2 linked regions of the Nothobranchius furzeri genome follow. The protein of the gene in region 2 purifies or fractionates together with the protein of the main gene of each other region. This does not show direct contact. Links are inferred from orthologs where the notes say so. Each region holds a gene or a part of one and is shown on either strand. Other genes may lie near its edges. The genes, in order: nudcd3 and gan.

What was found.
Region 1: the proteins of gan (region 2) and nudcd3 purify together in Homo sapiens (co-immunoprecipitation; 3 studies listed by BioGRID and IntAct, counting the BioPlex papers as one, with this or other methods). This does not show direct contact. The link is inferred for Nothobranchius furzeri from reciprocal best matches to the Homo sapiens genes GAN and NUDCD3.

What each region holds. Positions count from the first base shown.
Region 1 is NC_091746.1:39,650,547-39,655,109, reverse strand, and holds the start of nudcd3 (nudC domain-containing protein 3), read right to left. Parts: upstream 3,034-4,563; 5' UTR 2,871-3,033; coding exon 2,673-2,870; intron 1-2,672. Other genes in the region: mrps24 (small ribosomal subunit protein uS3m), read left to right, coding at 3,563-3,637, 4,355-4,432.
Region 2 is NC_091744.1:82,314,177-82,317,997, reverse strand, and holds part of gan (gigaxonin), read right to left. Parts: intron 1,959-3,821; coding exon 1,822-1,958; intron 1-1,821. UniProt on the Homo sapiens protein: Probable cytoskeletal component that directly or indirectly plays an important role in neurofilament architecture.

The sequences.
Region 1 (4,563 bases), on a different chromosome or scaffold from region 2:
GAATATTTTCTGCAACAAGTCTCTAAATAAAGTAAAATTTTCCAGTGCAGATTGGAGACAACCCATAGAAGCACTGATTTGATCTCATTTCAGAGAAAAATAGAACAGGTCAGATGCACCTAATATATAAAATTACTAACAAACTCAGGAATCTTTCTTTGCTTCACTATTCTGGTGCTGAAAATATCACTAATGTGGATCAAAGGAGATACACAGATGAATGCACCTCTTATTATTTGGAGACTACATTTACTGCAGCTGGCAGAGGCAGAGATCGTTTCTATTGATACACGGAGTTTACAGAATCATTTTAAATGTTAATAGGGGAAGACTGCAGGAGGGAGCGGTAAAATACAGGGGGTCCCCAGCAAAAACAAGAAACTACGAGTCTGATGAAACCCGCTGGTTTTCCATCAGCCAGTCACGGGGCAGCTCCAACGACCCAGTGACCGAGCTCAGTCCGGTACCGACACCGGCTCGGCAGAGGGTGAACCAGCCGAGGTGACGTCGTGCTCTGCTTAAGAAGCGGTGTTATTTTCCTGCTTCAGAAGAAGCGTCCAACGTGTTTTTACGCTTTCTCCGAGACATGTCACGTCACTAAGTTGTTAGCGCCGCGCGCTAAGGAAACCCTGCGTTCCTCTTCGGAACGAAAACCTCGTTGTCGCTCAGCCGCGGCGAAGCCATGTTTGTTCGCACACAAATGAAAACAAGCGGGGCACTAATATATTACTATGACTCACTCTGATTGGTTAAGGGTCAAACAAAGGCGTGTCATTCGCCTGAGGTAAGTTCCCTTTTCATTCAGAGGCAGAAATTCAACAGCAGAGCTGTGAATCGTGATAAAACGGTCTCTCAAAAATGACAGACCGTCAGATGTGTAGATAGTAAAACGGTCTACAATCGTCATATCGCCCAGCCCTATGGCTAGATCAGTTTCATGCAGCACTTCAAATATATTTGACTCATTTTACTTTACATCTTTTAGCTTTCACCAGCACATCAGTATCAGAAGTCACATCCTGAGTGGCAGCCAACTTCAGGATGTGATTCAAGTTCTTGTGTGAGCCTTGAGCGCAGCTTTGTTTTATTTATACTCATTACAGAGAAAACTTGCTCACAAGTTCACTCTACCGTTGTAAGGTATGAACATAAAGTTTACACAACCATCTCGCGGGCCGGATTTAACCTGCTTGCGGGCCGGATCCAGCCCGCGGGCCGCGTATTTGACACCCCTGAGATACAGACTCGGGCTGTGCTGCGGTAGCACACGGGTTGCTGAGGTCACTTGAACAAGCTTTCAGGTCAACCAAAGCAAGAGCCGTGTCCCCGTCTACAGCGACAAGTCAAAAGCACATTCATGATGCTGGTTGGGGGGCCTCAGAGTTGGTCGTCGCTAGTCCTGTTGGGGATGTTCATGAACAGAACCTCAGAATGTCATCATGGACAAGAGGATGTCCAGTTTAGGAACGTCAAGATTTCATCTCTGCTTTCTGCAGAGGATGTAGTGTAGGTGTTGGCTTCATGCAAAGACCTTAAACATGCACTGGGATGGTTTAAAGCGGAGTGTGAAGCAGCCAGATTGAGTCAGGTCCTCCAGGTTGGGAGGGAGTCTCTTCCTCAGGCTCAGGCATCCTGGAGTCTTGCTTGTAAGAGGCGGTGGGACAGAGGACGAGGTGGTCCAACGGTTAAGGGCTTTTTCTGTTGAGACATGGCTGCTGTGTCAGCATGTCGTGGTAAAGAATAAGCTGCTGAGCCAAAAGAAAAATATTTCAATTTAATGGTCTGTTTATATTCCAACTCTCAGCTATGGTCACAATATTTGCTCAGCCTTAAGAGATAAGGAAATGATCTCCATCACCCAGGGGGAAGTCAAAGACCTGGGGCTTCTTCATACCTAAACGAGTCAGCCAAAGTGATGTGGGTACCTGACTGGCTCCTGGGAGGTTTTCCAGATAAGTCCCACAGAGAGGAGAATTCTGGACAGACCCAGAACGTGATACATGGTTATTTGGATAAAAGGTAGAAAATAGAAAGATGGATGCATCTTTTAACTTTTCGTATGGAATATTTTAAAAGAGCTATTAACAAAAGTCTGATAAAATATATAAAACTACAGTTTCAGATGACACAGTTAACACTGTGAATGCAGCCTTAGCATATAGAAAACTGAAAATTATCCGTTTTTTTAGGTATGGTGTCCTGGAAGGGACAAACTAAAAATAACTGCATGTGCTTTACACAGCTTTAAAGTGAGGGTTTACAGATCATGTCCTTAGATACTTCTCCATCAACCAGACCGTCATGTGCTGCTGTCCTCTATCCTCCCAGTCTGCCATTATGAACACTTATTCCCCTCCAGTTCTCAGATGGATTTTACAGACATGTTTTATTCGCATGTGATTTAAAGCTAGATGTAGATGTTACTGCTAATATAAAATAGTATGTTGTAACAAATAAGTGATCCATGCAAAAACCTCTCTGATAACCTTTGACCTAAATGCGTTTGAGTCAAAACTTTGTTAAACACAAGATTAGACATTAATTGTCTAATTAGAAAACAATTCTGGTTAACTTTTAATTAAAAAACACATTTTAGAATGCTAAACGAATGCTGAATAATTATTTTTGCCATGTAACAATATAACATGGTATACTGACAGACTATAGCTCACCTTCAGCACCATCTTCTCCGCAACACCTGGGGGGAAGCCCATCCTGTCGCTGGGACCAGACAACAGGCGATAAAAGTCTGTTTTGCGATACAAAAATCCGAAATAAACCTGGAGAAAGTCCTGAACGTTCCCAACGTGCTGAAGGATCCCAAGCAGAGCGTTGTCATACATCTCAGTCATCTGCAGCGGTGACGCCATGGTAGCTTTAAACCTTTTTTAGACTTTACAAAAAAAAAAAAAACTATAAAGTCTTCTGATCAACAGCGAGCGACCAGAACTGAAATGTGGGACTTTAAGACAGAATAAAAACAACAACAACAAATGGTGCCAGCTGAAATTTCTTAGCGACTGTTTCCTTTTCCAGAACAATTCACCGTTTTCCGGTATAGTGCTTTCAAAATAAGTTCCCACATAAAATAAATAACAATGATAATTTATATTTTTAAACCTAGATGGGTTTTAAATGTTTGGAAGTCAAACTAATTTACATTTAAATAGTTATTGAACAATTATTAAAACATATTTCCTAATTATAAAATACAAAAAAACTGTTCTTGTAAACCAAGTTACGTATACAATGATTAAATGTCTAAGCATCATTAGGGCTTAAAATAAAATAAATAAAGCTTTACATTTCTGTGTTTTACAACTAAATGTGACTGTGACGATATTTAAAAAATATTTTATATTAACAATATCCGGTTGGTACAGCTCAGTTGTTGTACGGTAAGAACACAAGTATACAGTAATCATTCCGGACATAGGTAACTTTCGGCGTTTAAGGGGAAAGATCTTTTTTTTATTTACATAGCAAGCTGAAATCATTACGATATTTACATTTTTATTTTTTGATAGCTATAAAAATTATAGTTGGTCTGTAAAATAAACAAATGATAGTAACACCTTCCCTCTCCGAGTTAAACATGGCGGCGTCCTTGACTAGCACAGCGAACGTGAGGCTGCTGGTAAGGAAATTATCTAAAAATGGAATGTTCATTATTGTTATATTGAATTGTGTGTCTCTTTAGACTCAGCGTAACAATAGTAATGCTCTAATCTGGACAATGTTAACTGTTGTGCATGAATTTACTGGTAAACTGTATTTTCTGTTTACCAGATTAGTGTATTTTCAGTAACCGGTATAACTAGTGAACACCTAGCTTTGTTTCAGAAAATTAACTGAAGGAGTTTGAAAATATACATAAAATGTGGAAAGGAACAACTAGATATAAATCCTCGATCTTCAAATTATTGCTCAGGATTACGGTTTTGTTCTTACAGTGATATTTAAGATACTAACAAATTCCACAACTTTTTCCATTTATTCATAGATTTCGTCCTCATTTTTACATCACAGAAATAGTGGCTGGAAAATAGGATATGTGATGTGACATAAATCATTTTAGTCATAGTCACATAGTTATTGTTTTTATGCAACCAATATTGAAATTACATATGTGATTGACTGAAGTCTTCAATAAAAAATAAATAAATGAATAAAGATAACTGGGAATTTGTGGGCAAAATCCTTCATGATTAAGGAACTGGACGTCTGAGTATTTTCAGTTTTTGAACAGAGATCCTACATGTTTAAAATTTTTAACAAGCCTCTAAAATGCTCTCTCTTTTTTTCTGCACATATTACAAACGTTAAATGGTCTGTATACCTGCTTCCCCTCCAGAGTTCCTTTGCTTGGTCCAGCTTGTTGAGCGGCCCAATAGGAAGCAGAAGCCTCCATGTAACAGCTGTATGCTGCAAGGTAAACTTTATTCTAAACACATCAAGCTGCATCAATCATCTTTGCCTGATTTATGTTATTATTTAGTCTCCACTTCAAACTCCACGTCATGACTGTTTTTACAGAAGTCCACACACCATGTCTTCTAGGGA
Region 2 (3,821 bases):
CGGTGACGGGGTTAGGACACACTGACGGTGACGGGGTTAGGACACACTGACGGTGACGGGGTTAGGACACACTGACGGTGACGGGGTTACGACAAACTGACGGTGACGGGGTTAGGACACACTGACGGTGACGGGGTAAGGACACACTGACGGTGACGGGGTTAGGACACACCGACGGTGACGGGGTTAGGACACACCGATGGTGACGGGGTTAGGACACACCGATGGTGACGGGGTTAGGACACTGATGGTGACGGGGTTAGGACACACTGATGGTGACGGGGTAAGGACACACTGATGGTGACGGGGTTAGGACACACTGATGGTGACGGGGTTAGGACACACTGACGGTGACGGGGTTAGGACACACCGACGGTGACGGGGTTAGGACACACCGACGGTGACGGGGTTAGGACACACCGACGGTGACGGGGTTAGGACACACCGACGGTGACGGGGTTAGGACACACCGACGGTGACGGGGTTAGGACACACCGACGGTGACGGGGTTAGGACACACCGACGGTGACGGGGTTAGGACACACCGACGGTGACGGGGTTAGGACACACAGACGGTGACGGGGTTAGGACACACAGACGGTGACGGGGTTAGGACACACCGACGGTGACGGGGTTAGGACACACCGACGGTGACGGGGTTAGGACACACCGACGGTGACGGGGTTAGGACACACCGACGGTGACGGGGTTAGGACACACCGACGGTGACGGGGTTAGGACACACCGATGGTGACGGGGTTAGGACACACCGATGGTGACGGGGTTAGGACACACCGATGGTGACGGGGTTAGGACACACCGATGGTGACCGGGTTAGGACACACCGATGGTGACCGGGTTAGGACACACCGATGGTGACGGGGTTAGGACACACCGATGGTGACGGGGTTAGGACACACCGATGGTGACGGGGTTAGGACACACTGATGGTGACGGGGTTAGGACACACTGATGGTGACGGGGTTAGGACACACTGATGGTGACGGGGTAAGGACACACTGATGGTGACGGGGTTAGGACACACTGATGGTGACGGGGTTAGGACACACTGATGGTGACGGGGTTAGAACACACTGATGGTGACGGGGTTAGGACACACTGATGGTGACGGGGTTAGGACACACTGATGGTGACGGGGTTAGGACACACTGATGGTGACGGGGTTATTCACACACTGATGGTGACGGGGTTAGGACACACTGATGGTGACGGGGTTATTCACACACTGATGGTGACGGGGTTAGGACACACTGATGGTGACGGGGTTAGGACACACTGATGAACGTAAAAGAAGATTCAATTAAGTCTAAATTTTGTTTTGTTGCCTTTAAACTCGATTCAAGAACTGTTCTTAGTATTTTATTTATCCATTGACTGATTTTATTTAATTCTGGTTATTTATTTTGAGCAAAGAGCAAAGAGCAACATAATCTCTCTCCATCTCTCTAAAGCCACAAAGGAGGCAACAGGAAACGGCAGAATTAGGGGCGATGACGCACTTTACACTAACACCACAGTAGGAAGGAAGTTCTGTTCCAAAAACCGGTCCTTCATCCTCAGATGAACACATGAACACCTGCTGCACATTTTAAAAACGCTAACATCCTGGGATTTTTGTGCATGCAGGAATGTTTCCATGTCTGGAAATGTGGAGGAACTCATGTCAAAATGAAACTAAGTGATCAGCTCTGGGATTGTGACAGCAACCACACACTAGTGTTTCACTTCCTGTTGTGCATCACACGTCTCTACAGACATAAATGGTTGCATGCTGAACTGTGAGTCGTCTTCTTCTGTTACCTCCTCTCCTTCAAAGGGCACAGGCCCGTCCACTGTTGGGTTTTAGGGTCAAAGCATTCGACGGAGTCGAACAGCTTTCCGTAGGAGCCGCCACCGATGGCATAAATCTTCTTGTTCATGGAGGCGTAGCAGCCGACCTGAAGGAGGAAATGAACCGGTAATGCACATCTTACTGGGAAAAACCCGAAGTATGTCTGTTTCGTATTTCTGATTAGACATTAAAACAGACCAGATGAGACCAAGATCTGTTTAAGTTGTTGTATCTGAATCTTAAACAAATAAAAAATGTACTTTAAAGGGACTTTACGGAGTTTTGAATTTTTATGCTCGCGATTGCCCCCTCAGGCCAAAAGCGTAACGGCAGCTTCAATAGTAGGCTCGTGCACGAGGCGCGCATGCTGTACGTGCACACTCCTTAACGAAAATAAAAGCTGAGACAGTCCTGTGTGTGTGTGTGTGTGTGTGTGTGTGTGTGTGTGTGTGTGTGTGTGTGTGTGTGTGTGTGTGTGTGTGTGTCAGAGGACAGGAGAACGAGCAGCTAATTAATTAAATAATTTGGTTCTGTACCTTTCTCTTCAGCACAGCCGACAAAGGTTTAAGATGGGTCAGTCCTCCTGCATGCTCAGACCATTCCCTTCCCTTGCTTGAAAAATTGTTCCAAAATGAAAGTTGAACCCACATCTTTTTTATCTGTGAATTCAATGCCGTTCGGCGCGTCTCAAAAATTTGGGCATCTTACTGCAAAAAAATATACCATTAATGTAAAAAAGAAACTCTAAATAAACTGTGTTCACACCCAGAATCAAACTCTGGTCTTCTGCATGGGAGTCAGACGTCTTACTATGTGAGCTAAAGCACCAGTGACATCCTTTGTATCTGTAACTTTTATATCCTTGATGACAGCTGAAACAACGTCAAACCAAAGAACGGTTCCGAGCGAAAATGGCTATTTTGTTGCTAATTAGCAGGAAATATCTAGAAGAAAGTTCTACAGAAAGTAGCTAAGGGTCCTCAGAAATGTAGCTAGCTTTGTCACTAGGCGTTAGGAACAGCGACAAAGTGGCACTGCCTCTCTCTCTGCTGCTAAAGCTACGGATAGCAAATGCTACGGGCGATGCCTGAGCGTGAACGCGCATGAAGCAGCCTGCTCGACCCGAGCATCTCTCTTTTTCTGTGATTTTACAGAAAAACAGGCAATCACAGTAAAAATGCCAGAGCTCATTCTACAGGACCAGGGCATTGCAGGAGAATGTATGAAGAAGACATTTATTATTTCTATACATGTTTTAGCTGTCAAACTTCCATTATGTCCCTTTAAAATAATGTTTTGAATTTGGGTTTTAAGTTGGATATAGAATGATACACAGACTCAACGGCACCGATCCCTTTATGCATCCTGCTCCAGCTGCAGCTTTTAGCAGGCTGTCCATCCAGAGGACCACAGCTTTAACTTATTGTGACTGATCTTAGGGCCATCTTAACAATACAAGTTTCCTAGGAAACCGGAGACGGGTTCAAAGAATTTAGGTTTTCGTGTTTGTGTATAGAATAGGATGAGGGGAAAAAAGCATTTCAAGTCACACTTGGCAGTTTTTCTTGCTTTAGCACCCCCTAGTGTCCGTTATTAATTCTCTGTGGTCAAACTGAACTTTCTACTTCTCTCCTTGCTGCGCGCTGATCGTTTTAACTCCTTAATCTAACAGCTGAAACGTCTCCCAGCCTTCATTAGTCTTCAGGAGTGATTCATCACTAAATTAAACAAATCAGCTGTGTTCATGATCTAAAACATGCAGGAAACGTGCTGGAAGCAGCCTGCAGCTCCAGTTTTTTCGGAGTCCAACAGGAGGCAGCCCGCCACTCTGAAGTTGCAAGTGCGGTATTAAGGTCAAAGAGGGCGGTGGGGGTCTGAGTGACATTTCATTGGTAAATGTAAAATGGTAAAGGACCTGTATTTGATATAGCGCCTTCTAGAGTCCTGGAACCTACCAAGGCGCTTTACA